Pelodiscus sinensis: one gene and its partner. The protein of the gene in region 2 purifies or fractionates together with the protein of the main gene of each other region. This does not show direct contact. Links are inferred from orthologs where the notes say so. Each region holds a gene or a part of one and is shown on either strand. Other genes may lie near its edges.

Region 1 (12,696 bases), on a different chromosome or scaffold from region 2:
CTAGACTATCTCTTTCCAAAAAAGCTTTTTCAAAAGATTCTTTCGAAAGAGGCTTGTAGTCTAGACGTACCCAGAGAGAGAACTAGAATTCCATCCAAATTAGAGCACAGTCCATTTCAAGACTGCAATTACTGTAGCATAGAACGGGGAATGTTCTTTTACTATTTGGCAGTGTATAAATTCAGATTGGCGTACAGTTCTGATTAATCCTATTTCTCAATCCACTTGGCCTCTTAATTGCGTATGCTTTGTATTCACAATTAAAATTGCCCAAAGAAAGGACAGAATGAGCTCACTGCATTTTTGTGACATTAACCACAGCTCAGCAACCGTTTATAACGACTTACCATAAAATCCATATACTTGTGTTATCTGCCTGCTCTCATGATTCCCTCGCAAGAGTGTGATACGATCAGGCCATTTAGCTTTTAGTGCAAGAAGGTAGGTGAAAGTCTCCAGACTATAGTAACCTCTGTCTACAAAGTCACCCTGAAAATTTAAAATATATGGAAGAATAGTTTCAGGAGTGCAAACAGTAGTATCTCTATTTATAATTCTTTAATTTGCAGACGCCCATAAAGCACCATTGCTAAAAAATTCTGAGAACATCTTAAAGAAATGTTTAACTGGATATCTGAAATTTTACATTTTAAAAAAATTAACCATTGTTTTTGTGATTCTTATGTTCCCATTCATCCAAGAAATGTTTCAGGGTGTTCTTTTTAGCTCCTCATATTTAACTTTCCCTCTACTGCCAATGTAAGCTAGAGCTTTTAGATAGTAGGCTTTAAAAAAAAATGTATTTCCTTTTGTGTGAACCAGCATTACCTATTTCAAATTTTAATGGACAAAATAAAAGCCACACACATTAGCCAAGTGGAAGAGTAAATTTGGGAGTGAAAAGAAGTTTACATGCTAGAGAGTTAAAAATGGAAACTGAAAACTAGCAATGTAAAATCCTGGTTAATCAGTTAACTGGTTAAACATTACATTTAACTGGTTAAACGGGATCCCACGGTTGGGCTGGAGCAGCAGCCTTGCTCGCAGCATGGCAGGGCCCAGCTTTCCACAGTACGAGCTGCTCTGATGAGGCTGGAAAGGCCCCTGCCCAGGGTGTGGTGGGCCTGGCCACCAGTTAACCAGTAAGACACACTCAGTAAGGGTGATGCTTGCTGGTTAACTGGTGACATCCCTACTAAAAACAAAAACCAAAAGAAAGTTGAGGGTTTTGTTTTTAATCGGTGTAATTGTACAGGTGCTTTCCTTACACTTTTTTGAATGACCAACATCCAATATGTACATACCATAAATATGTAGTTTGTGTCAGGAACCTGACCTCCAGTTCTGAACAGTTCACACAAGTCATAAAACTGGGGGAAAAAAAGGTTTAAACATTAAGGCTTCTGTTATCATTGTTAGCTAAGAGTGTATTAGTACAATTAATTGGAATGTACCTAGGTTTAGGCAGAAATAATCTTTATTTTAAAAAAAAAAAGATAAAAATAGGTCTAAACAAGTTCCACTGTACAATTATGGGCTGAAGGGACATATTTCCCATTCATCCTCCTGGTGTTAAAAATCCACATTAACTGCCAAATTAAGAGAGCAGCTGCACACTGTGCTAATCCTGGATTCAATCCTGCAACCCCTTTGCATAAACATGCATCAGCTTCAAATGGGAGTTCCCTCCTCCTGGGACGAGGTCCCTATTAGCACTGAATAGTTCAGCAACTGCAGTCTAAGTAACAGCAGTTCACAGATGATCACTGAAAGTGAGGATCGTTCTGCAGCTCTTCTTATTCTGTGAGGTTGGCCTCCCAAAAGTACACTACGGGAAAATTATAAACAGTAGGTTTTCCTTCCACTGTGCAAAAGCAGTGCACACAGAATATTGCAAATTATTGAACGTTCAGTAGTTAGTTCTGCTTCCCCAACCACATATTTAAAATACTCCTCACCATCTACCTTTCTAAAAATGTTTGCAAGTGACAGACTGCTCTTCTCTAGGAATATAACATGCAAGCAGTTGCGCCACTTTACCTGTCCATGTATGTCTCCACAAACTGTAACTGGCGTAGATACTGGCTGTACATTTGACTCTTCAAGCAGCAGGTCACACACATAATCACATAAGCGCTACAGAAAAAGAAGTTTACACTGATCAGGCTGAGGTTTTTGTGCATTGTAATATCAAGAAATAACAGATTTATAAATTATTTGCTTTAGAATGTATTCAAGTCTCTAGACACCATGATCATGATCAAATGAATTGGGATCAATGTTCCCTCTAATTTTTTCTATCTATGTGTGGATTTTTTTCATTAATGTGCAGAATAAAATTTGTATGGGCTCCCAGGCATGTGCAAATTTAACATCCCTTAGTGCACAGCACATGTAATTGACATGTGTAACCACTGAAATGTTCAGTGGTTACACACAGGGCAGCAGCCAGCGCGCCAGGAGGCAGCATAGGGTGGTAGGTGGCTCTCTGGGAGTTGACTTAAGCCGCTCCCTGCGCATACCTGTTCCCCCCACCACCCTATGCTGCTGTCTCTGATAGAGGCAGCAGTGCAGGGCAGCAAGCAGCTCCCCAGAATCCAGACTGGGAGCTATGTGCAGTCATTTGGATTACCTGTTAAAACACATACACTCTTACAATCTTAATGTGCACCACTGATAGAAACAAAACCTAGGCATGAGCGCTCTGCTAGTCAGCTGGGCAACATATTAATCACCCCTGAGCAGATGCACATGCACATCATACAGGGAACACTGCTTGGGATGATAATAAATATGTAAGAAAATCCGTTACTAGCTAAACATTTTTTTAAAATTAAGTGTGTCTCAATGAATAGAGCAACAGTTCACAGAATGAGTGCATCTTAGGTTATTTAAATGCTATATTAAATTGCAGTTTTGCTCTAAAATTTGAAAGTCAGATTGCCACTTTATTTCATGTTTATTTTATCAATGGTTTCTGTATTAGATATGCTCAGCTAACAAGGAAAAAAGTTAATTTCCATCTGCAAAACTGCAAAACCTAAAACTCATCCTGAGATCAGAGACTCAAACTGGATTCTTTCCTGCTCACTCACCGATCAATAACTAAAGTCTCACTTACGCCTGTGCAACCCCATGAACAGTGCCATGTTCTTCACAGGTGGTTCACAGGTATAGCTCACTAAAACTTAGAAAACAATTCCACTGATGATGTACAAAAAAGAAAAGAATCCCCCTCACACATTCAGGCATGCTGACTCCACTAACTCGTAGAGGGAAAGAGTACCGCATACTTATTTTTGCAGGACTCTCAATATACAATGATTAATGGATCAGTTCACTTTTAATGGTCTCCCGCAGTGTTTATCTACTACTTATGTTAAACAAGCTGTTCCCACCTACTTGTTAACTGTGACACTGTGGGCTTGTAGGCATTACCACTGGTGTTGGTATAATTTGTGTCGCTGGGGGTATGAACAACATGTGATATAAGTTACACTGTAAGATGTACTTAGGTTTAAGTACCCATTCTCCAGATACTTAATGATGCTCTGTGTCACACACCCTTCCCTTTTTCTTTTTTTCTCCCCCCCTCCTATTTATTTCAAGTTTTCATATCCCCTACTCATAACTCCAGTCATCTGAAGAAGTGGGCTGTGCCCACGAAAGCTCATGATCCCATCAACATGTTGTGTTAGCCTATAAAGTGCTACCAGACCATTTGTTGTTTTTTTCTGTAACAGACTAACTCAGCTACCCCCTGAAGCTCTTGTAAGCACCAGTGTGGTTTTATTATGCCACCTCTCCCATTAACATCACAGTATCCTCACCAGAGGTACTACAGTTGCATAGCTGCAATAGTGCAGCTATCCCATTGTAGAGATTTTAGTAGCCCTCTGAGTATTTTTCCCAGATCTGAAGAAAAAAAAAAGCATCTGCAGAACAAAAACTACTGTCTTTTACCATAATAACAGCCCTACTGGGTCAAACCAAAGGTTCATTTAGCCCACTATCACATCTTCTGACTACAGCCAGTGGCCAGGTGAATTCAGTGGGAACAGACAGTAACATAATCATCTGAAAAAGTGGGTTGTGCCCACAAAAGCTCATGATACCATCTACAGGTTTTGTTAGTCTATAAAGTGCTGCAAGACTATTTGTTAAGTTTACTCATAATCATTGAACAATCCATCTCCTGTTGTTCATTCCCAGCTTCTGGCAAACAGAGGCTAAGGGCACCATTCCTGACTACCCTGGCTAACAGCCATTGATGGACCTGTCCTCCTAAACTTTGAACCATTATCACCTTCGCCTGCACAACACCCTCTGGCAAGGAGTTCCACAGGTTGTGTATAAAAATACTCCCTTTTGTCTTAAACCTGCTGCCTATCAGTTCCTGTGGTGGCCGCTGGTTCTTGCCTGGGAGTAAGTGACGCTTCCCTGGGGGCTCCGCTGTCAGTCTGGCGGTGCAGACTCGGGGTCCCGCAGCGCGTTCCCAAGCTGAAGAGCCCCCGTCCGCTCGGGCTCCCCGCCGGCCCCGCTTCCTTGCACCCTGGGGAGCTGCCGGTCTCTCTCCAGGGCGGGGCCAGCGCGTTGCTGCCCGGGGCAGGCCGGCCGGGGAGGCGCCTCCCGCAGCCCGCGGGGCCCCGCCCGCGCTCACCTTGAGGTCGTTCTCGGGCAGGTACTTGCAGAGCCGCGCGATCTCAACGTACTTATCCAGGTCCAGAGGCGCCATCTTAGCCGAGCAGCCGGGGCCGGAAACGGGAGCCGGCGACTTCCGGGGGCGGCCGAGCCCCACTACCGCGGCGACGGGCCGGAAACGAGGGGCACTTCCGGGGCGGGAGGCCGGAAGTCGGTCAGCCTGAGCGACCCGGGGGCCAGAAGCGGAAGCGCCCCGCCCCCACAGCCTTCCAGCGGGCAGGTGCCTTCGCCTCCGCGCCCCGCGCGCTCTGCCTCAGCCCCTGGCGCGCGGCGCAAAGCATGCCGGGAGCCGCGGGGCATGCCGGGCAGCGCGCTGGCCGCGCGGGGGGCGGGGCGGCGCTGTGAAGCGGCTCCGGGTTCCCCGCCCCGCGGCGGTGAGCGGGGGGGCCGGGCCGGGGGGGCCCAACGGGCCGGGGCCGATCCAGGCGGCCGCTCCTCCGCCTGCGCAGCGCCCGCCGGGGGGGGGCGATTCCCCTGCCCGCACTGGGGGGGGATCGGGGGGGGGCGGATTCCCCTGCCCGCACTGGGGGGGGGATCGGGGGGGGCGGATTCCCCTGCCCGCACTGGGGGGGGATCGGGGGGGGCGGATTCCCCTGCCCGCACTGGGGGGAGGATCGGGGGGGGGCAGATTCCCCTGCCCGCACTGGGGGGGGGATGGGGGGGGGCAGATTCCCCTGCCCGCACTGGGGGGAGGATCGGGGGGGGGGCAGATTCCCCTGCCCGCACTGGGGGGGGGATGGGGGGGGGCAGATTCCCCTGCCCGCACTGGGGGGAGGATCGGGGGGGGGCAGATTCCCCTGCCCGCACTGGGGGGGGGATGGGGGGGGGCAGATTCCCCTGCCCGCACTGGGGGGGGGATGGGGGGGGGGCAGATTCCCCTGCCCGCACTGGGGGGAGGATCGGGGGGGGGGCAGATTCCCCTGCCCGCACTGGGGGGGGGATGGGGGGGGCAGATTCCCCTGCCCGCACTGGGGGGGGATCGGGGGGGGGCAGATTCCCCTGCCCGCACTGGGGGGGGGGATGGGGGGGGCAGATTCCCCTGCCCGCACTGGGGGGGGATCGGGTGGGGCAGATTCCCCTGCCCGCACTGGGGGGAGGATCGGGGGGGGGGCAGATTCCCCTGCCCGCACTGGGGGGGGGATGGGGGGGGCAGATTCCCCTGCCCGCACTGGGGGGGGGATGGGGGGGGCAGATTCCCCTGCCCGCACTGGGGGGGGGGATCGGGGGGGGACAGATTCCCCTGCCCGCACTGGGGGGGATGGGGGCGCAGATTCCCCTGCCCGCACTGGGGGGGGGATCGGGGGGGGCAGATTCCCCTGCCCGCACTGGGGGGGGATCGGGGGGGGCAGATTCCCCTGCCCGCACTGGGGGGGATCGGGGGGCAGATTCCCCTGCCCGCACTGGGGGGGGATCGGGGGGGGCAGATTCCCCTGCCCGCACTGGGGGGGGATCGGGGGGGGCAGATTCCCCTGCCCGCACTGGGGGGGGATGGGGGGGCAGATTCCCCTGCCCGCACTGGGGGGGGGATCGGGGGGGGCAGATTCCCCTGCCCGCACTGGGGGGGGGATCGGGGGGGGCAGATTCCCCTGCCCGCACTGGGAGGGGATCGGGGGGGGGCAGATTCCCCTGCCCGCACTGGGAGGGGATCGGGGGGGGCAGATTCCCCTGCCCGCACTGGGGGGGGATCGGGGGGGCAGATTCCCCTGCCCGCACTGGGGGGGGATCGGGGGGGGCAGATTCCCCTGCCCGCACTGGGGGGGGCAGATTCCCCTGCCCGCACTGGGGGGGGGGATCGGGGGGGGCAGATTCCCCTGCCCGCACTGGGGGGGGGGATCGGGGGGGGCAGATTCCCCTGCCCGCACTGGGGGGGGGGATCGGGGGGGGCAGATTCCCCTGCCCGCACTGGGGGGGGGGATGGGGGGGGACAGATTCCCCTGCCCGCACTGGGGGGGGATCGGGGGGGGACAGATTCCCCTGCCCGCACTGGGGGGGGATGGGGGGGCAGATTCCCCTGCCCGCACTGGGAGGGGATCGGGGGGGCAGATTCCCCTGCCCGCACTGGGGGGGGATCGGGGGGGGCAGATTCCCCTGCCCGCACTGGAGGGGGGATCGGGGGGGGCAGATTCCCCTGCCCGCACTGGGGGGGGGGATGGGGGGGGACAGATTCCCCTGCCCGCACTGGGGGGGGATCGGGGGGGGGCAGATTCCCCTGCCCGCACTGGGGGGGGATCGGGGGGGGCAGATTCCCCTGCCCGCACTGGGGGGAGATGGGGGGGCAGATTCCCCTGCCCGCACTGGGGGGAGATGGGGGGGCAGATTCCCCTGCCCGCACTGGGGGGAGATGGGGGGGGCAGATTCCCCTGCCCGCACTGGGGGGGGATCGGGGGGGGCAGATTCCCCTGCCCGCACTGGGGGGGGATCGGGGGGGACAGATTCCCCTGCCCGCACTGGGGGGGGATGGGGGGGCAGATTCCCCTGCCTGCACTGGGAGGGGATCGGGGGGGCAGATTCCCCTGCCCGCACTGGGGGGAGATGGGGGGGACAGATTCCCCTGCCCGCACTGGGGGGGGGATCGGGGGGGGACAGATTCCCCTGCCCGCACTGGGGGGGGGGATCGGGGGGGGACAGATTCCCCTGCCCGCACTGGGGGGGATGGGGGCGCAGATTCCCCTGCCCGCACTGGGGGGGGATCGGGGGGGCAGATTCCCCTGCCCGCACTGGGGGGGGATCGGGGGGGGCAGATTCCCCTGCCCGCACGGGGGGGGGATGGGGGGGGACAGATTCCCCTGCCCGCACTGGGGGGGGGGATGGGGGGGGACAGATTCCCCTGCCCGCACTGGGGGGGGATCGGGGGGGGCAGATTCCCCTGCCCGCACTGGGAGGGGATCGGGGGGGGCAGATTCCCCTGCCCGCACTGGGGGGAGATGGGGGGGGGAGATTCCCCTGCCCGCACTGGGGGGGGATCGGGGGGGGACAGATTCCCCTGCCCGCACTGGGGGGGGATGGGGGGGCAGATTCCCCTGCCTGCACTGGGAGGGGATCGGGGGGGGGCAGATTCCCCTGCCCGCACTGGGGGGAGATGGGGGGGCAGATTCCCCTGCCCGCACTGGGGGGAGATGGGGGGGGCAGATTCCCCTGCCCGCACTGGGGGGGGAATCGGGGGGGCAGATTCCCCTGCCCGCACTGGGGGGAGATGGGGGGGACAGATTCCCCTGCCCGCACTGGGGGGGGGGATCGGGGGGGGACAGATTCCCCTGCCCGCACTGGGGGGGGATGGGGGCGCAGATTCCCCTGCCCGCACTGGGGGGGGATGGGGGCGCAGATTCCCCTGCCCGCACTGGCGGGGGGATCGGGGGGGCAGATTCCCCTGCCCGCACTGGGGGGGGGATCGGGGGGGCAGATTCCCCTGCCCGCACTGGCGGGGGGATCGGGGGGGCAGATTCCCCTGCCCGCACTGGGGGGGGGATCGGGGGGGGCAGATTCCCCTGCCCGCACTGGGGGGGAATCGGGGGGGGCAGATTCCCCTGCCCGCACTGGGGGGGAATCGGGGGGGGCAGATTCCCCTGCCCGCCCTGGGGGGGGAATCGGGGGGGGCGATTCCCCTGCCCGCACTGGGGGGGGATCGGGGGGGCAGATTCCCCTGCCCGCACTGGCGGGGGGATCGGGGGGGCCGATTCCCCTGCCCGCACTGGGGGGGGGATCGGGGGGGGCAGATTCCCCTGCCCGCACTGGCGGGGGGATCGGGGGGGCAGATTCCCCTGCCCGCACTGGGGGGGGGATCGGGGGGGGACAGATTCCCCTGCCCGCACTGGGGGGGGATGGGGGGGCAGATTCCCCTGCCTGCACTGGGAGGGGATCGGGGGGGGGCAGATTCCCCTGCCCGCACTGGGGGGAGATGGGGGGGCAGATTCCCCTGCCCGCACTGGGGGGAGATGGGGGGGGCAGATTGCCCTGCCCGCACTGGGGGGGGAATCGGGGGGGCAGATTCCCCTGCCCGCACTGGGGGGAGATGGGGGGGACAGATTCCCCTGCCCGCACTGGGGGGGGGGGATCGGGGGGGGACAGATTCCCCTGCCCGCACTGGGGGGGGATGGGGGCGCAGATTCCCCTGCCCGCACTGGGGGGGGATGGGGGCGCAGATTCCCCTGCCCGCACTGGGGGGGGATCGGGGGGGCAGATTCCCCTGCCCGCACTGGCGGGGGGATCGGGGGGGCAGATTCCCCTGCCCGCACTGGGGGGGGGGATCGGGGGGGCAGATTCCCCTGCCCGCACTGGCGGGGGGATCGGGGGGGCAGATTCCCCTGCCCGCACTGGGGGGGGGATCGGGGGGGGCAGATTCCCCTGCCCGCACTGGGGGGGAATCGGGGGGGGCAGATTCCCCTGCCCGCCCTGGGGGGGGGAATCGGGGGGGGCGATTCCCCTGCCCGCACTGGGGGGGGATCGGGGGGGCAGATTCCCCTGCCCGCACTGGCGGGGGGATCGGGGGGGCCGATTCCCCTGCCCGCACTGGGGGGGGGATCGGGGGGGGCAGATTCCCCTGCCCGCACTGGCGGGGGGATCGGGGGGGCAGATTCCCCTGCCCGCACTGGGGGGGGGATCGGGGGGGGCGATTCCCCTGCCCGCACTGGGGGGGGAATCGGGGGGGGCGATTCCCCTGCCCGCACTGGGGGGGGGAAATTGGGGGGGCGATTCCCCTGCCCGCACGGGGGGGGGGGAAATCGGGGGGGCGATTCCCCTGCCCGCAAGGGGGGGGGATCGGGGGGGGGGAGATTTCCTGCAGGCCCCAGAGGGTTTTAATGTGACTCTGGCTTTGCTTCCTTTGCTCAAGACCCATGAGGCCGAAGGCCTTGCCAATTCTGGAGCCTGGAGATGTTCCCCAAAGGGGCACGTGGTCAGTACATCTGAGCATTTTCCCATTTCTCCTCAGCCTCTCCCATTACTGTCGTTTGTTATTGCGTTATGACCCCAGTTATCTCACTGGAGTCTGTGGGTCAGATTCCCCCATTAAACCCTGATAACCCATCCTCCTCCTAGCATTTTTGATGAGCCTATGGGTTCAGATCAGAGTGTGGGGACTGTATTCTAAACTCACTTTTCCCCTCATTCCCCTGGTCCAGGAGTGGTTCACACCCTTCTCCAGCACAGCACTTGTGTATTGATTGCACTACAAATATCCCTGTCCTTTCCTCCCCAAACTACTTTGTGCACTCCAGGCCTGATTCTCATGCCTGTGTTTCCCTGTTCTAGGTACAAGCTTGTCCCTCAAGGAGAAAGGCCTAATGCACGCGTTGGCCATAACTGCTTATATTTGCCTTCAGCCCCAACTGCTGGGAAAGGCCAAGTGGTCATTGTTGGGGGAGCAGACCCCAGTGGCAGTTTCTCTGATGCCCACATCATAGATCTGGGTAAGAGCAGGAAGCATTCAGCAGTTTTGTTGCCTATTATGCTGTCTGTCCTTGGAAACCAAAACGTCTGTTCTATCCTTGCTGTGTTTGAGGAAGAATGGATCAGATCCATGAAAACACTTCAGTGGGATAACAAAAGCTGTGATTAGGCCTAGAAGCAGTAACACGGTTAATTCCAGCAGATCCACACAACAAACTTACAGCTGCACTGTATCTGGTGACGATTATCAGTCTCATCTGGCAGGAGAACGCTTTCCTGTTAGGTTAGTAACTTCACCCTCTATGGTAGCTGTGTTGGTGGGATGGGAGACATTCTCCTCCCCCAACATAACACTATCCCCACTGGAGGTGAAAGTCAGCATAACTACATTGCTTGGGGATGTGGGTTTTTCACACCCAAGTGATATAGTTCTATGTAGACCAAGCCTTAAGTGTTACATCCTCTCCAGATGGATGAAGGGCTCAATCCTGCTGTTGCATGGGTCTGCATATGGTTGTGGATGTAACTGAAGGATCGGAGCCTAGAAGGGAATAAAGTTTCAAGTCTGCATTTTCTGGACTTGAATCTCATGTCTGTGATCTGAGCTATGGACAGCCACAGTCATTTAGTTGGGGGATGAGAGAGGTGAGCTAGGAAACATAATGATGAAAGATATTCTGTCACGTGTTTGTATGCTGGGGTGTATTTATGGGGACTCTTTCAAGTTTCAGTCTCCATACTCAATAGGGAGATTAAATTGTGTTTATTTTGGCAAACGTGTAACTACTGAATTTTGTAGTGGTTACATGTTTACATGCGGAGCCCGGGGCGGGGCGGCAGCATTACTGTAAACATCAGTGTTGTAAATGGAGCTCTGTAATTCCCTCCATTTCAGATAGACACCAATGGTCAATGCCTGGTTGGATGGGCCTGTTGCCTCGATACGAACATGCCACCTTCATTCCCACTAGCAGCCCCACTAGCCTCTGGGTGTTTGGAGGGGCTGACCAGTCTGGAAATAGAAACTGCATTCAAGTGCTGAATCTAGGTGAGTGTGTGGTAGAATCCACCCATCTCCAGTCTTCTCTTTCTTTGTTGGATTGTTGCACATGCACTTGTTATCCACCTGAGAAACTGTTTGAATTACCTGGTTACGTTTGCAATGTCCAGGTTACAACTTCAAAAGCTGTATTTACAGGCTGCTGATTTTCTTTATTTCTTCCTAGAAGTTTTAAAGACTAGCTAGGATCAAACCTATGATTTTCTGAAAGTGCTGTGTTCCCCTTGGGTTCCTTGCTGCAGGCAATGCACTGTTCTTAGTGCTTCACAGCAACAAATCCCCTACCTGATGCCAGCAGGAGCATTCTTGTGTCAAACAAGTGAGTCCTGCCAGAGGCAGCTCAGCCCACCATGCAGTTTAATGTAGGTCATTTGAGTGCGATATAGCGTGGTCTGCTCTGCATGGGTATTAAAGAGTCTTGGAGGTGTTTGCCCTGGAGTTAACTAAAATTCCTCTCCCTTTTCTATGGCTTTGTGTGCCTGTTTTCAGCCTGTCTGTTGCCTTCCACTACACGTCTCGACTTGTGCAATGATAAAGATTCACTGTACAAATATCAAGGTGTGGAATAAATACAAAAGCTTTCTAGGATTAGTGGGAAGTCCCAGCAGCCATGCTTGATTTCAGTGTATAAATACATTCCACAAAGTCAGTTGTGGTTATGTAGATGGGATATAGCATTTTGTCAGGTGCTGTAAACAAACCTGAATTAGGCACGTGCAACAAATTGACCTTTCATTTGCAACTTGGATTTTTTCCCTCATTTCCCAAAAGCCATTTTTTGCCATGCTTGACTTTTGCTCATCACTGTGGTTTGTGCTTAATAATTCCTCGTCGAGTCAATTTCAGTGCTGAAAAATTCATATACACAAGGTAACTTCTTGTTATATATTTATGAACAATTATCATTTCCTCTTTTAATTAGGCACAGGAATTTGGGAAAGCCCTCAAGTGATTGGGACTCAGCCACTCCCTAGGACGTACCACACATCATCAGCGGCTATAGGAGACCGGCTTTATGTGCTTGGAGGGGGAGATAAAGGAGCAGAGCCCGTTAAAGATGCACAACTTCATGTGTTTGACACAAGTAATAATATAAGTTAAATAACTAATGTTTTCTTACACTGAGTTCAATGATTCATTGTCCACTTGAACTGAAAGCTTGCGTGGTACAGATACAAAGACCTGGAAATGGAAATAATACATAAAGAAGTGGGTAATAGAGTATTGTGTATTATTAGACACTGTTTTTTGGCTGCAGGTTTAAATTAGATTAATGGGCTTCCCCCCCATCTGAAGCTTATCAACATCACACGGGAACTTGGTAGTACCTTCAGTGGAAAGATCTAAGAGAAGAGTGTCATTGGCATTGCCGGTCGGGATTGAGGTGCATTGTCAGAATCCTCCAACTGCAACCACAACTTGCTGTAGTAGCCACTCTCTTTTAGTAGAAAGAACATCATATGTTGCTCACTTCACTACGAAGGGACAATACATAGAGCAAGAAAAAATATTTTTTGTCTATTGCACCAGCTGCATGGAATTACTTCTAG
Region 2 (12,110 bases):
ACAAATAAACAAACTTCCTCCAATAAAATAAAAAGTTATACAGAAACAGACTTGTTAAGTATGACAGGGAGTAATTAATACTAGGACTGCTCTTCAGGAGACGTGGGTGACAGAACAGAAGTGACACTCAGGCAGATAGAACTACTGTGTAGTTCAAGTAACCTGGTTAAAAGACCAGCTCACAGGAGAGAGCTAGCCCAGGAACATATTCTTCTTGTGATAGCTATGGCACAAGGGGAAAAAGGAGAAAAATAGCATATTGGAAACCTGGAGAGAGTGGGGGGGGGGAACAACACCCCAAAACCACCCATCTGATTGGATATCCTAAGCCCCTACCTACACACACACACACGTCTTGATTTGAGTTGGGTGAACAGAGCCCATGTTTGAATGTGTAGGACTACCCAGTTATCAAAACATTAGTTTTTCATTCATGTTCAACTTTAGTTCCTGTGCATATTCTCTTATTACATATAGCCACAGCTGCATTGAATATAAAATACTAAGCTAAATGGTCAGACCTTAAACTGCATGGGGAAAGAAAGGAGGATAAAAAGCAGAGCCACTTTGTGCTGAAATGTCACTTTTCATTTGTAGGTCTAAAGGCACTTCGAGTTACCAGGCCTGTTGGAATTGGCACACACTGTAGGGGAAACAAACTGCATATATAACAAGTGGATTATCTAGAACCGATATGAAAGGCTGTAAGTAGCACTGTCACTCAATACTGCTTCATACAGAAATGTCAACAAAGTGGAAATCTTAAGTGTCTAATCACGTTCAGGGGTTGTTCATTTTATTTAAGCTGACGACTTTGATCACTCATTCATATTCGATTTTTGAAATGGGGGGTGAGGAACAGAAGGAATATAGATACACAAGAATTGATTTCACAAGTGAATGAGGGTTGAACACGTTTCCTTTGGTTCAAATGATTAAAAAGCTACCATGTGGTCCAGCTGACCATCTATCAATTGACATTAGTGAGAAAGTAGCTCATGTAACTTGTTTGACCAGAAACAGATAGGATGTAGTCTTAAACTAAGCTTTCTTGCCTAAGAAATACCATCAAGACAGCTTATAAAGTATACCTACTCTCTGGTTCCACCACAACAGTGACCTAGCACTTCTCAAGTATCTTAAAACAGCAATAACCATCTCTTCCTTTTTTCTGACCCGGTATGAAAAATAAATTCATTTGTTTATGATGATTTTTGTTTGCCTGCTTTGTTTGCTTGCTATGTGTGAGAGGGCAAGAGCAAGTAGAGGCACATGTGAAGAAAACAAGGAAAACCTAAGTCACTGGAATCAGACTTATGTTTACTACTTATCCCAACTTCTTTCATCTTTTGCTGCTAAGTACCATAAAACTGTAACAGAGGAGGAGGTATACTATCCCCCGCATTCTCAAACCCTGTGGGTCCACAGTTTCATTATCCCAGTGGAAGGCATTTGTTAGTGAAAGTTAAACTTATGGGGGGAGTTGGGAGAAGACGTCTCTCAGGCAGACGGAAGCAATCCCATGCCATGGAAACCCTGATCCAGATTTTACATGCATGCGCAGAGAGCAGCATGCTGAGGTGACTGTCCTGTGCTGCTAAACAGACAAGCTGCTGTATTTTGTATCCGTTGCAGCTGCCACAGGGTGTGGGGCTTCTTACTAAATATAACAAGTTGTCACAATCAGATCAACACTGAAGATCACAAATGCAGGAGTCAGAGTGCCATGAAAGTTGGTGTGCTTTGCTGTCATGGCTATCTGGACACCCAGAGTAATATAGCCTGTGGACCAACTAAATCCAAAGACACATACAGTAGGCAGTGGAGAAGTTATAAAGATGTAAGTACTTCAAAGTGCATCATTCTTCCTACCAGCATTGCCTCAGTCTTACCATAATTCAACTTTAGCTAACTGCTCTTCTCCCAGGTACTGCTTCCTGGTAGGCACAGAGAAAACTGTGACAAGGTGCTGCTTATATTTGATGCAAAGGAGGATTTAGCGCCTGGCAACCCTCTGCGTGCTACTGGCACTTCAGGTTGTGTTGTCATGCAAAGCCTCCCGCTGGCTGTGTTACAGATACCGAATAACATGGGGGGAAAGGATGAGCCTTGGTGGGCTTTAGATATGAAGAACTAATGGCTCAGAACAACTTCCTAAGATCAGTCTTAAATAAAAAGAGAAAAAAAGACTCTACGCCATTTTGAGACACTCCTGTTCTCTCCAGCAACCTCATGCAAGGGAGACAGGAATATCTGGTGATCAGCTGCACCAAACGCCACAGAGTGCCAGCAGGAGGAGCATGGATACCTCTATGACCAGGAGGAGGTCTCCCCAACATAAGAAGCACTGCCTCCATACTATGCCCGGAAGCCACACAGCAGATGAATCATGCCACTGGCACTGGAGAGTATTTAGAGCGTGCTGCCATGAGAAGGCATACTGCAAAGTCACCGTGCCAGTTCTGATAAATCTCACCTATCAGCTCTGGGGAATGTTAGAGGTGTGGGAGGGAAAGAAGAGGGGAAATTAATTCAATAAAAAAAGTTCACACTACTTCTCAGCTCTCTCTGTTGCAATATAAACTTCACAAGACGCAATTCACTTGGCTCAAACCACTGTTTTGTGCTCTACTAGCAGTGATGTAGTAAGATCCTTGTTGAGGCGTCTTTAAAACCATTGCTAAACCTTTAGGGGTTTAATTCCAAGAGCCTCATGAAACACATAATTTCAGGCTTAGGCATAAAGCACAGAAATGCTACATGACCTGTACCAACTATAGTGCAAATACTTTTAATATTATGCTGCAGCGTATACTTTCAATTTACAGATTTCACCCAAATCTTCTGATTTATGAGACTTGTTCTCTGCACTATGGGGCAAAATTAAGTCTCCCGGTGTGGAACATTGTCTTCATTTGCAGTAAGCACCACATCCAAAGATGTGTGTGTATCAAGGGACATGCCAGGAGACTTTCGGTTCTGCAGGAGATTTAGCCTTCTGTTAAATTATGGAAATGCATTCATACAGTCATCTTCCAATATTTAGTGAATTTTATTATACAAGTAGCTTGGGTTTCTTTTCCTTTCAAAAATCTGTGTTAATTGTAAGGCAAATGCCAGGGGCAGGATTTTTAGTGGAAGATTTATCTCAAAATACATAAATAAAATGAGCAAGGGAGATAGTTAAACACTTATGTCTGTATGCTTGTGAGGGTGGGGTATTTTAATAAGGGCCTGTAACTGCTGATTATAGGAGACCAAGTTAAACTAAAAATAGCTGATTAAGACAAGCAAATGTGCAACAGTTGGTACAATATATATTGATAAATTAGGCTGTGGGAACCGTAATATGACTTTACTAAATATATCAATGGTAAAAAGTAATTTAATACAAATTATAGCTGCTCTTTTATTAAAGTGAACATTTTAACATAAGCTGACAGATGAATATTGCAATTTTCTAATAACTTGCAAACAATCATGGCAACCAAACCAAAAATGCACTCTTTAAACATAAAGGCCTACTAGAAAAATAATTACCATGTATCACAGTAATAAACAGCACCGAATTCCTAAAAGAATGTTAATAGACCTTAGAGACCTTTCAAAAATAGCCAATATCCATTTTTATCCTGTCTCTCAACTCTGAGAATTATAAAATGGCAAGTTTGACTTGAAAGTTGGACAATATATCAACTCTAACTTAGCAATGAGTAACATTTTCAAAAAATAAATGAACAACAAACGCTTTTCCATATAGAACCCTAGGTTCACCTAAGTAACAAACATAGGCCCCAGTTCTGCTAACTATTCTTTGTGGGAAAGGAACATAGAGTCCCCCCCGGATTTCAACTTGGATTCACAGGAGCAAGCTTGTGGCTTTCAAATCTGATGCTGCATTTCAGCTGACTTCGGTGGGAGTTTGGGGTGTCCAAACAAGGAATGCAAAAAGAGGTCTATCACTGGTTAAACCACCTAAATGGCTTAAAAAAAAAAAACACTTGTTGTGTTTTCCCTCTGAAACAACCTTGTATAAGGAAACCTACTTGAGAGGTTGTATTATCCTGATTAAAAAGTGACTAGGAATCTGACAGCGTTTGAACAGCCAATTAACAACCACGCGCACAGCTGCAAAGTGTGATGCGCGTATGGAGGAAGAGGCAACCTACACCACTAACTCCAACAACTCAATAATTAATCCATTCGTTAGATGGAGGAGGAAATGCAGCTAGTCCATTTAAAAGTCACCCTTCTGCCTCGGCTTCCGAATCTGCCTCTGCTCTGGGCTTGGCACTGACCTCTACCTTGAGCCACGCCACTGAAATAAAATGCAGGACCATGGAGCACTTTAAAGACTAACAAGATGGTTTCTTAGGTGAGGAGCTTTCGTGGGCCAGACCCACTTGCTCAGATCCAATGTAAACACTGAAATAAAAACAGAGCGAGGCGGCGCCGGAGTGGAGCCCAGCGCTGCGGAGGAAGGGTGCGCTCCCGCAGGCTGGCTCCGTGACAAAGCCTCTGCTCTGGGCACCCCCACGCAGCGCCTTTCTTCGGGGCATTTCCCACGCAGCACAGGATTCGCCTGGCTCCTCCCGGGGCAGAGCCGCAGGCGCGGGGCGCCACCAAGCCCGAGCGGTTCTGCGCTGAGCCCGGAGCCTGCAAAGCGCCGCTGCTGCGCTTCTTCCCCACCCCGGCGCCGCCTCCTCCTCCAGCCCGGGGGTCCCGGCTCCTACCTGCTCGGTGAGTTTGAGCACGGCCATCCTGCCGCGGCACATGCAGCTTGCAGCCCGGAGAGGGGAGCGCGGCGGAGCAGAGGCGCCTGCGGCTCCCCGAGCCGGCCTGCTGCGGGAAGTCCTGGCTGCACACGCCGAGCCCCACTGACATCACCCCGCCCAGGGAGCGCTGGGCACGGACACGGCCGCCTCCTTCCCCGCCCCGCACGGGGAAAACACCAGCGCTGCTCCTGCCGCTGCTCACATCTGGGCTCCGCCTCCCCCCGCCAGGATTCTCTTTGTTCCTCTCACAGCTGCGTGTTTCCTCCCCGGCCTCTTCCACTCGCTGCCTTCAGCAGCCCCGCAGCTTCCCGGCTGCTCCGCGCTCTCCTGGGGGGGGCGAGAAGAAAGCAGGATGGAGAAGGAACCAGGAGGGGGGGGGGGGAGGTGTGGTGGGGATCAGGGATGTCGTTGTGTGGGCGGCTACACAACTGGGTGGATCTAGTTTCCCCTCCCTTGCTGCTGCTGTACGAGATGCAGGGGGAGTGGGTGCCCAGGAGGAGCTAGCTTGAAATCGGGCTTCCTGATCTGCCTCTGATAGAGAAGGGCAAGGGGCAGGCTGGAGCCAAGATACCTCCACACATACCAGCTCCCACATAGCCCACCTTGCTGCCTCCTACAGGGGCAGGCAGAAGCCGGTGCTGAGGGAAAAACATCTTCCTAGCACCAGCTCCCCAGTGCTGCTTGCCTCTCCCCCCTGGTGGGTGAAACAGGGGATGCAGCAGCTGCTTTGCAGCAGGAACCTCTGTCCCCGGGGGAGCTTGGACCCCCACCCTACCCTTAAGGACTGAGGCAGCAGCATAAGGTGGCAAGGGGCTCCTCAGGACGGAGACTGGGAGCAGAGTGGCTGCTGGCCCCATCCCCGGGCACTATAGAATAGTCAAGTAACTGCTAAGATTTCCTACAGTTACACGGCTATTCAATTACACAATATCTAACATCGCTAGCGGGGATGTGAAGGCAGGAGATGGCCCCAGAGAAGACTTTGCTCATACAAAGCCGTGTTTAGAATGAAAGGATGGGAGACATTTTATTAATGAATGAATATAATCAGGGAGTTTGGCCCAGCCCTGGTTTCTTCTAGACCCCTAGGAAAATGTGTCGAACTCATCTAAAGGCTGACAACTCTGGCTTTCCAGTGTTTGTACACTTCAGCCTGCTGCAGACCTAGACTTGCTCCACTGCAACTTGAGACCACTGCTCCTCTTTGTCATCTGCCACCACTGAGAACAGCCTTTCTCTATCGTCTCTGGAGCCCTTCTTCAGGTAGTTGAAGGCTGCTATCAAATACTCCCTCACTCTTCCCTTCTGCAGACTAAATAAACCCAAATCCCTCAGTCTCTTCTTGTAAGTCACATGCTCCAGTCCCCTAATCATTTTGGTCACCTTCCGCTGAACCCTCTCCTGTTAGCCAGAGAACTAGTGATCTCAAACTAAATTAGCTTTCAGGCCCATCCTCAAACCCACATCTATCATTGTAACCGTAGTCAGAGAGTTGTTGTTAACGGTTCTAAATCCTGCTGGAAAGGGATAACAAGTGGAGTTCCTCAAGGGTCTGTTTTGGGACCCGTACTGTTCAATATCTTCATCAATGATGTAGATATTGGGATCGAGAGTACGCTTATTAAGTTTGCAGATGATACCAAACTGGGTGGGGTTGCAACTTCTTTGGAGGAGAGGGACATAATTCAAAATGACCTTAGCAAGTTAGAGAAATGGTCAGAGGTAAACAGGATGAGGTTTAATAAAGAGAAATGCAAAGTGCTCCACTTAGGAAGGAACAATCAGTTCCATACATACAAGATGGGAAGCGACTGTCTAGGAAGGAGCATGGCGGAAAGGGATCTAGGGGTCATAGTGGACCACAAGTTGAATATGAGTCAACAGTGTGATGCTGTTGCAAAAAAAGCAAATATGATTCTAGGTTGTATCAACAGGTGTGTTGTAAGCAAAACTCGTGAAGTCATTCTGCCGCTCTACTCTGCACTAGTTAGGCCTCAGTTGGAGTACTGTGTCCAGTTCTGGGCGCCACATTTCAAGAAAGATGTGGAGAAATTGGAAAGGGTACAGAGAAGAGCGACAAGAATGATTAAAGGTTTAGAGAACATGACCTATGAAGCCAGGCTTCATGAACTGGGCTTGTTTAGTTTGGAAAAAAGAAGATTAAGGGGGGACATGATAGCGGTTTTCAAATATCTAAAAGGGTGTCACAAGGAGGAAGGAGAAAATTTGTTCCTCTTGGTTTCTGAGGACAGGACAAGGAGTAATGGGCTTAAAGTGCAGCAGGGGAGGTTTAGATTGGACATTAGGAAAAAATTCCTAACTGTCAGGGTGGTCAAATATTGGAATAAATTGCCAAGGGATGTGGTGGAATCTCCCTCTCTGGAGATATTTAAGAACAGGTTAGATAGACATCTGTCAGGGATGGTGTAGACGGAGCTTGGTCCTGCCTTGAGGGTGGGGGGCTGGACTCGATGACCTCTCGAGGTCCCTTCCAGTCCTATTATTCTATGATTCTATGATTGGGAGTTATTAGGACTTCCCCAAGGACTAGGACAGACAGTAGAGGTAAACTAACAAGGATTTATTAAACAGTAAACAAGGTAAATATAACTATAACCAGGAAAAAGATAGGACCCCACCACAGGAAATGGAACAAAACAGTCTCGACTGCGACTTAAGGTAGGGACCCAAATACCTGGAGGAATATCACGGGACAATACCATGTCTCGCAGCTCGGGACCCTCACGGCAGCGCCTGGATTCCAGATTCAATCTTAGACATCTGGAACAGCAGGATCGGAACAGTTGGATCCTCCTGTGGCCGGATCTGTTTGGCCTAACAAACCCCTTTCTCCCTGTGCCGTCGTGGGTGCAAGTGTGTCCTGACCAGAGAGGGGTGACGATGGATGTCACTCCTTGCATGCGAGTGTACCTTCCACAACCCTAAGCCTACTATGCGTGGACCTGGCATACCCGTCTGAATGACTCCTGCACTCCAAAGCCAGAGGCAGCCCTTAAGTAACCTGCTGTTACTGGGCAGATTATGATCATATGTCTACTGGATTTCCCACCAGAACACAGAAAGGGCAGGAAAAGGAGGAAGGGGAAGGGTGGCCAAAATGGAGTCCCTGTTGTTGTTTAGGCTCTCAAAATGGCGGCTGTGCCCAAGATGGCATTTCAGAGAATTTTAACCCTACATTCCCCTCCTTGCCGGCAAGAAACTCTCTCTCAAGAGATTTGATGCTGGCATCCTATTACAGGATGATATTAGGTTACAATTCTCCAGCCTTCAAATCCTTACCCTTATCCATCTAATGGTTACACTTATACCCACTATCAACAGAAATGGAACAAACAAAATTATAACAAAAGGGTATCAATAGATACCATGGGTTGCTGATTTCGGTGGGGCTGACAAATAGAAACTCCCACTAGTGTGTGTATCTGGAGGCCTGGAGAAGCCTTTTTAAAATTCTTTCAATTTGCTCAGTGGAATGGTGGACTCTCAACATCACATCTTGTCCCCTTTCCACAAGCTGCTGAATATGCATTTTTAACTCAGGATGCTGTACCAATTGACGCAATATGCTTAGATTGGCCCCCAGGTGCACCGGCTCCACATGATCGTACAAACTATATGGCTACGTCTAGACTGGCATGATTTTCCGCAAATGCTTTTAACGGAAAAGTTTTCCGTTAAAAGCATTTGCGGAAAAGAGCATCTAGATTGGCACGGACACTTTTCTGCAAAAGCACTAGACGCGGTTTTGTGCAAGAAAGCCCCGGTCGCCATTTTCGCCATTGGGGCTTTTTTGCGCAAAACAGTTTTTAGCTGTCTACACTGGCCCTCTTGCGCAAAAACATTTCCGGAAAAGGGCTTTTGCCCTAACGGGAGCAGCAGAGTATTTGCGCAAGAAGCACTGATTTCAGACAGTAGAAAGTCAATGCTTTTGCGCAAAATCAAGCGGCCAGTGTAGACAGCTGGCAAGTTTTTCCGCAAAAGCAGCCGCTTTTGCGGAAAAACTTGCCCGTCTAGACACAGCCTGAAGGTATACCTTCTATCCCCTCCATGGTACAGAAGAAGTGGTTCCCATTATTAACAAAGATTTCTATACAGGAAAATACATAACTATTTACAAATAACACAAACTTAATAGATGCTGATTGATGAGATGGTGTTGATGATGCTCCCACGGCACAAACACAGGAAAGACACAGATTAATGATTGGGATTGTCGTCGCCCTTCCAGACATTTAGCTGACTAGAATGGAACCATTTAAGATTTTTTTTTCCTTTCTTAAGAGGTATTTCCAACTGATACATGCAAGGGCTAACCTTGTTAACTATGCAGACAGGTCCTACCCACCATGGGCTGAGTGCATGGCCTTGGTCTGAGAAATATTTATATAGCACTTGGTCCCCGACCTCCCACTCTATCAGCCTTACATGTTCTAACCTCTTATCCATCTCTCCTGTATTTGATTTTAACTGCACGGCCATTTGGAACTGGATGGCACTAATATCAGTTAAGATCTTGTTCATATATGTCTGTTGCTAATCGAGGCTGATATTTGTCAGGTATCCTCATAGCTCTATCAGTCATGACCTCATGGGATATGAAGCCATGACTCGCCACAGTTGATCTGACCGCCATTAGGACCAGTGAGAGTTTGAGGTCCCAATCCTTGCCTTGGTGACATATGATCTTTCTCAGAGCCGTCTTAAGAGTCCAGTTTGTTCTCTCAACAAGACCGGAGCTCTGAGGATGACCAGCCACATGGAATCTCTGCCTGATTCCCAGGGCTTGGCAAAGGGTGTTGGTCACCTCACCCTCAAAATGTGGTCCTTGATCTGAGTCGATAACCTGAGGGAGATCGAACCTGGCAAAGGTTTTGTTCAAAAGGACTCTGGCAGTAATGGCAGCACTACAATTATGAGTGGGGTATGCCTCCACCCATTTCGTAAAGGCATCGACCACTAATAGACAGAACTTTTTGCCTCTACATGTGTTAGGGAGGGGACCAATGCAGTCGACCTGCAGTCGACACCAAGGTCCTTCTGCAAGGTGGTGGCGTAGTGGGCCTTTTACAACACAGCTGTCAGCGTTGATTTCTGTGCAACTTAAACAGGAATGGATATGCAAGGCTATGTCCTTTGTTAGTTCTGGCCACCAAGCCACCCAGAGGACTCTGTCTGCAGTCTTTTCTGGCCCAAAGTGACCCTGTTGGTGAGCCAGGGTCACCATCTCCTTTTGGAGACACGATGGAAGCATCAGGACCGGAAAAGCCTCTTCCAAATTTTTCTTTTAGGCCAGAACCAGACCATTTTTGTCCTTAAAGATTTCATAGCCCTTGCATTCCTTCCTTTCCAGTGAGCCCTGTATGCTTAAATCCTTTTTCTGCAGCTCCTTGATGTTCACCTGAGTGTCTAGATTAAGTGCAGGTTGGACTCTCATCACCAGGAGCGACAGGGTCAGAGTCCACAGTAACTCTTCTCCCCAAAGTGCTGCCTCCTTTGCTAATATATCTGCCCGATGGTTCAGTCTGGAAGCCTCGGCGGAATCTTTTTGATGGGCCTTCACCTTACACAGGAAGGTCTCCCCCTCACAGTCGGAGGCCAATTCCCAGGCATGATGTAAGTACACAACATATTTAATGGGTTTCCCATCGGCTGACCTCATGCTCTGCTGCTTCCAGACTGGCATCCAGGAAGTAAGTGCTCTCACTCCCCATTCTGAGTCAGAGCAAATGCAGATGTGCTTGCTACTATTGTCACCAACTCGGCAGCTTGTGCCAAATGGGATCTCACTGTCCCCTGCAGCACTCGCTGAGTGGAAGTCTGGAAAGCAGCATACCCTGTCTTGAGGTGACCCCCCTGGAATAGCAGCTGCCATCCAATCCGTGTTCCTTGGCTCTACCAGAGCTCGGTTCCAACTGGAAAGGCGATGCCAAGACCAGACCTGGGACTGGGAGCGGACATTTGTGTTCCTGGTCCTCCATCAGGAGTGCAGAAGGCAGTACACTTAGTTACGGTGATTTTTGTACTGTGATGTCTCAGTTAAGAAGGCTGAGAGTACAGCTAGCCAGTCTAGGGGAAGATACTCGACCCTCATTCACCTGGCCAGGGAGGACTTACCAAAGGATCACAGGGGAAATCCCCACCAGGTATTCCCAATGGCCAAGTGCCCAAATTAGGGTGAGCACCTCCCATTTGCATGCACTGAACTGTGTCTCACCCTGGAACCATATGCCATAGGCTGCAGCCCAGTTCCCTGATTTTGCAATAGAACTGCGCTGATTCCCTGGCCGGAGGTTCCTAGCTGCAGATAAAAGGGTTACTTGGGCCTAGGATAGGCTAAAGCTGGTGCAGATGCTAAAGCCTCCCTAGGTCACAAAAAACCTGCTGGTGGTTTTCTTTCCATTGACACTCTTGCCCCATCCTAAGTAACTGATATAGTGGTCTCGCCTTTTCTGCATATTTATCGATGAGTTCCCTGGAAAATCCAGTGAGACCGAGGAAGGAGCGGAGAGCCAACACATCACGAGGGACTGGCAGTTTGCATATCAGTTCCACCCGCTGTTGATCTGTTGGCCTCCTCACCTCTGGGCTCAATCGGACTCCCAGGTACGTCATCGTATCCTTGACTAGTTGGGCTTTTGTTGGATTTATCAAAAACCCACTGCTCTCAAGTTTCTCAAGAACCTCCTCCAAGACCTCTATGTTCTCTTCTCTGGTGGAAGTGGCCATCAGTATGTTGTCCACATAGCGTAGGATGCTTTCCCGGTTCCTCAAGGTCTTCCACACTGCCGAGACATGATGATGGCATATGGAGGGGGCATTGTGGAAGCCTTGGGAAACTCTAGTAAATGTAAGCTGTCTCCCTTCAAATGTGAACACAAACTTGTGCATCACGGAAGGATGCAATGGGATGCTGAAAAGGCATTCAATAGGTCCAGCACTGAGTAGCACTTGGCCCCTACTGAGATGGCTGCCATTATCTCATTGTATTTAGCCACCACGGGAGCCAACCTAGGTGTCACTTGATTGAGCTCCCTATAATCAACCATCAGGCGCCGAGTCTTCTGATCAGCCTTAAGTACTGGCCAAATTGGGGAGTTGCACAGACTTTCGGTCTCTATTAGTAGCCCCTGCTGCAGGAGGACAGTTATGGTGGTTTTTAAACCCTCAGCTGCTGCAGCTGGATACCTATATTGCCAGCCAGACCTCAGCATCAATCTTACCACACTGAACCTTGTTAGTTGCAAACACCCGCAAATGCCTTTCAGCTACCACCGCTACATTGTCATCCCACTGAGGCATCTTAACATCTTCCGG

Evidence for each region.
Region 1: the proteins of ANKRD44 (region 2) and PPP6C purify together in Homo sapiens (affinity purification with mass spectrometry; 5 studies listed by BioGRID and IntAct, counting the BioPlex papers as one, with this or other methods). This does not show direct contact. The link is inferred for Pelodiscus sinensis from reciprocal best matches to the Homo sapiens genes ANKRD44 and PPP6C.

What each region holds. Positions count from the first base shown.
Region 1 is NC_134732.1:25,003,194-25,015,889, forward strand, and holds the start of PPP6C (serine/threonine-protein phosphatase 6 catalytic subunit), read right to left. Parts: upstream 4,796-12,696; 5' UTR 4,736-4,795; coding exon 4,661-4,735; intron 4,623-4,660; exon of another isoform or gene 4,420-4,622; intron 2,137-4,419; coding exon 2,041-2,136; intron 1,371-2,040; coding exon 1,305-1,370; intron 490-1,304; coding exon 348-489; intron 1-347. Other genes in the region: RABEPK (rab9 effector protein with kelch motifs), read left to right, coding at 9,534-9,592, 9,949-10,106, 10,982-11,134, 12,069-12,230.
Region 2 is NC_134717.1:71,359,938-71,372,047, forward strand, and holds the start of ANKRD44 (serine/threonine-protein phosphatase 6 regulatory ankyrin repeat subunit B), read right to left. Parts: upstream 4,958-12,110; 5' UTR 4,776-4,957; coding exon 4,734-4,775; intron 1-4,733. UniProt on the Homo sapiens protein: Putative regulatory subunit of protein phosphatase 6 (PP6) that may be involved in the recognition of phosphoprotein substrates.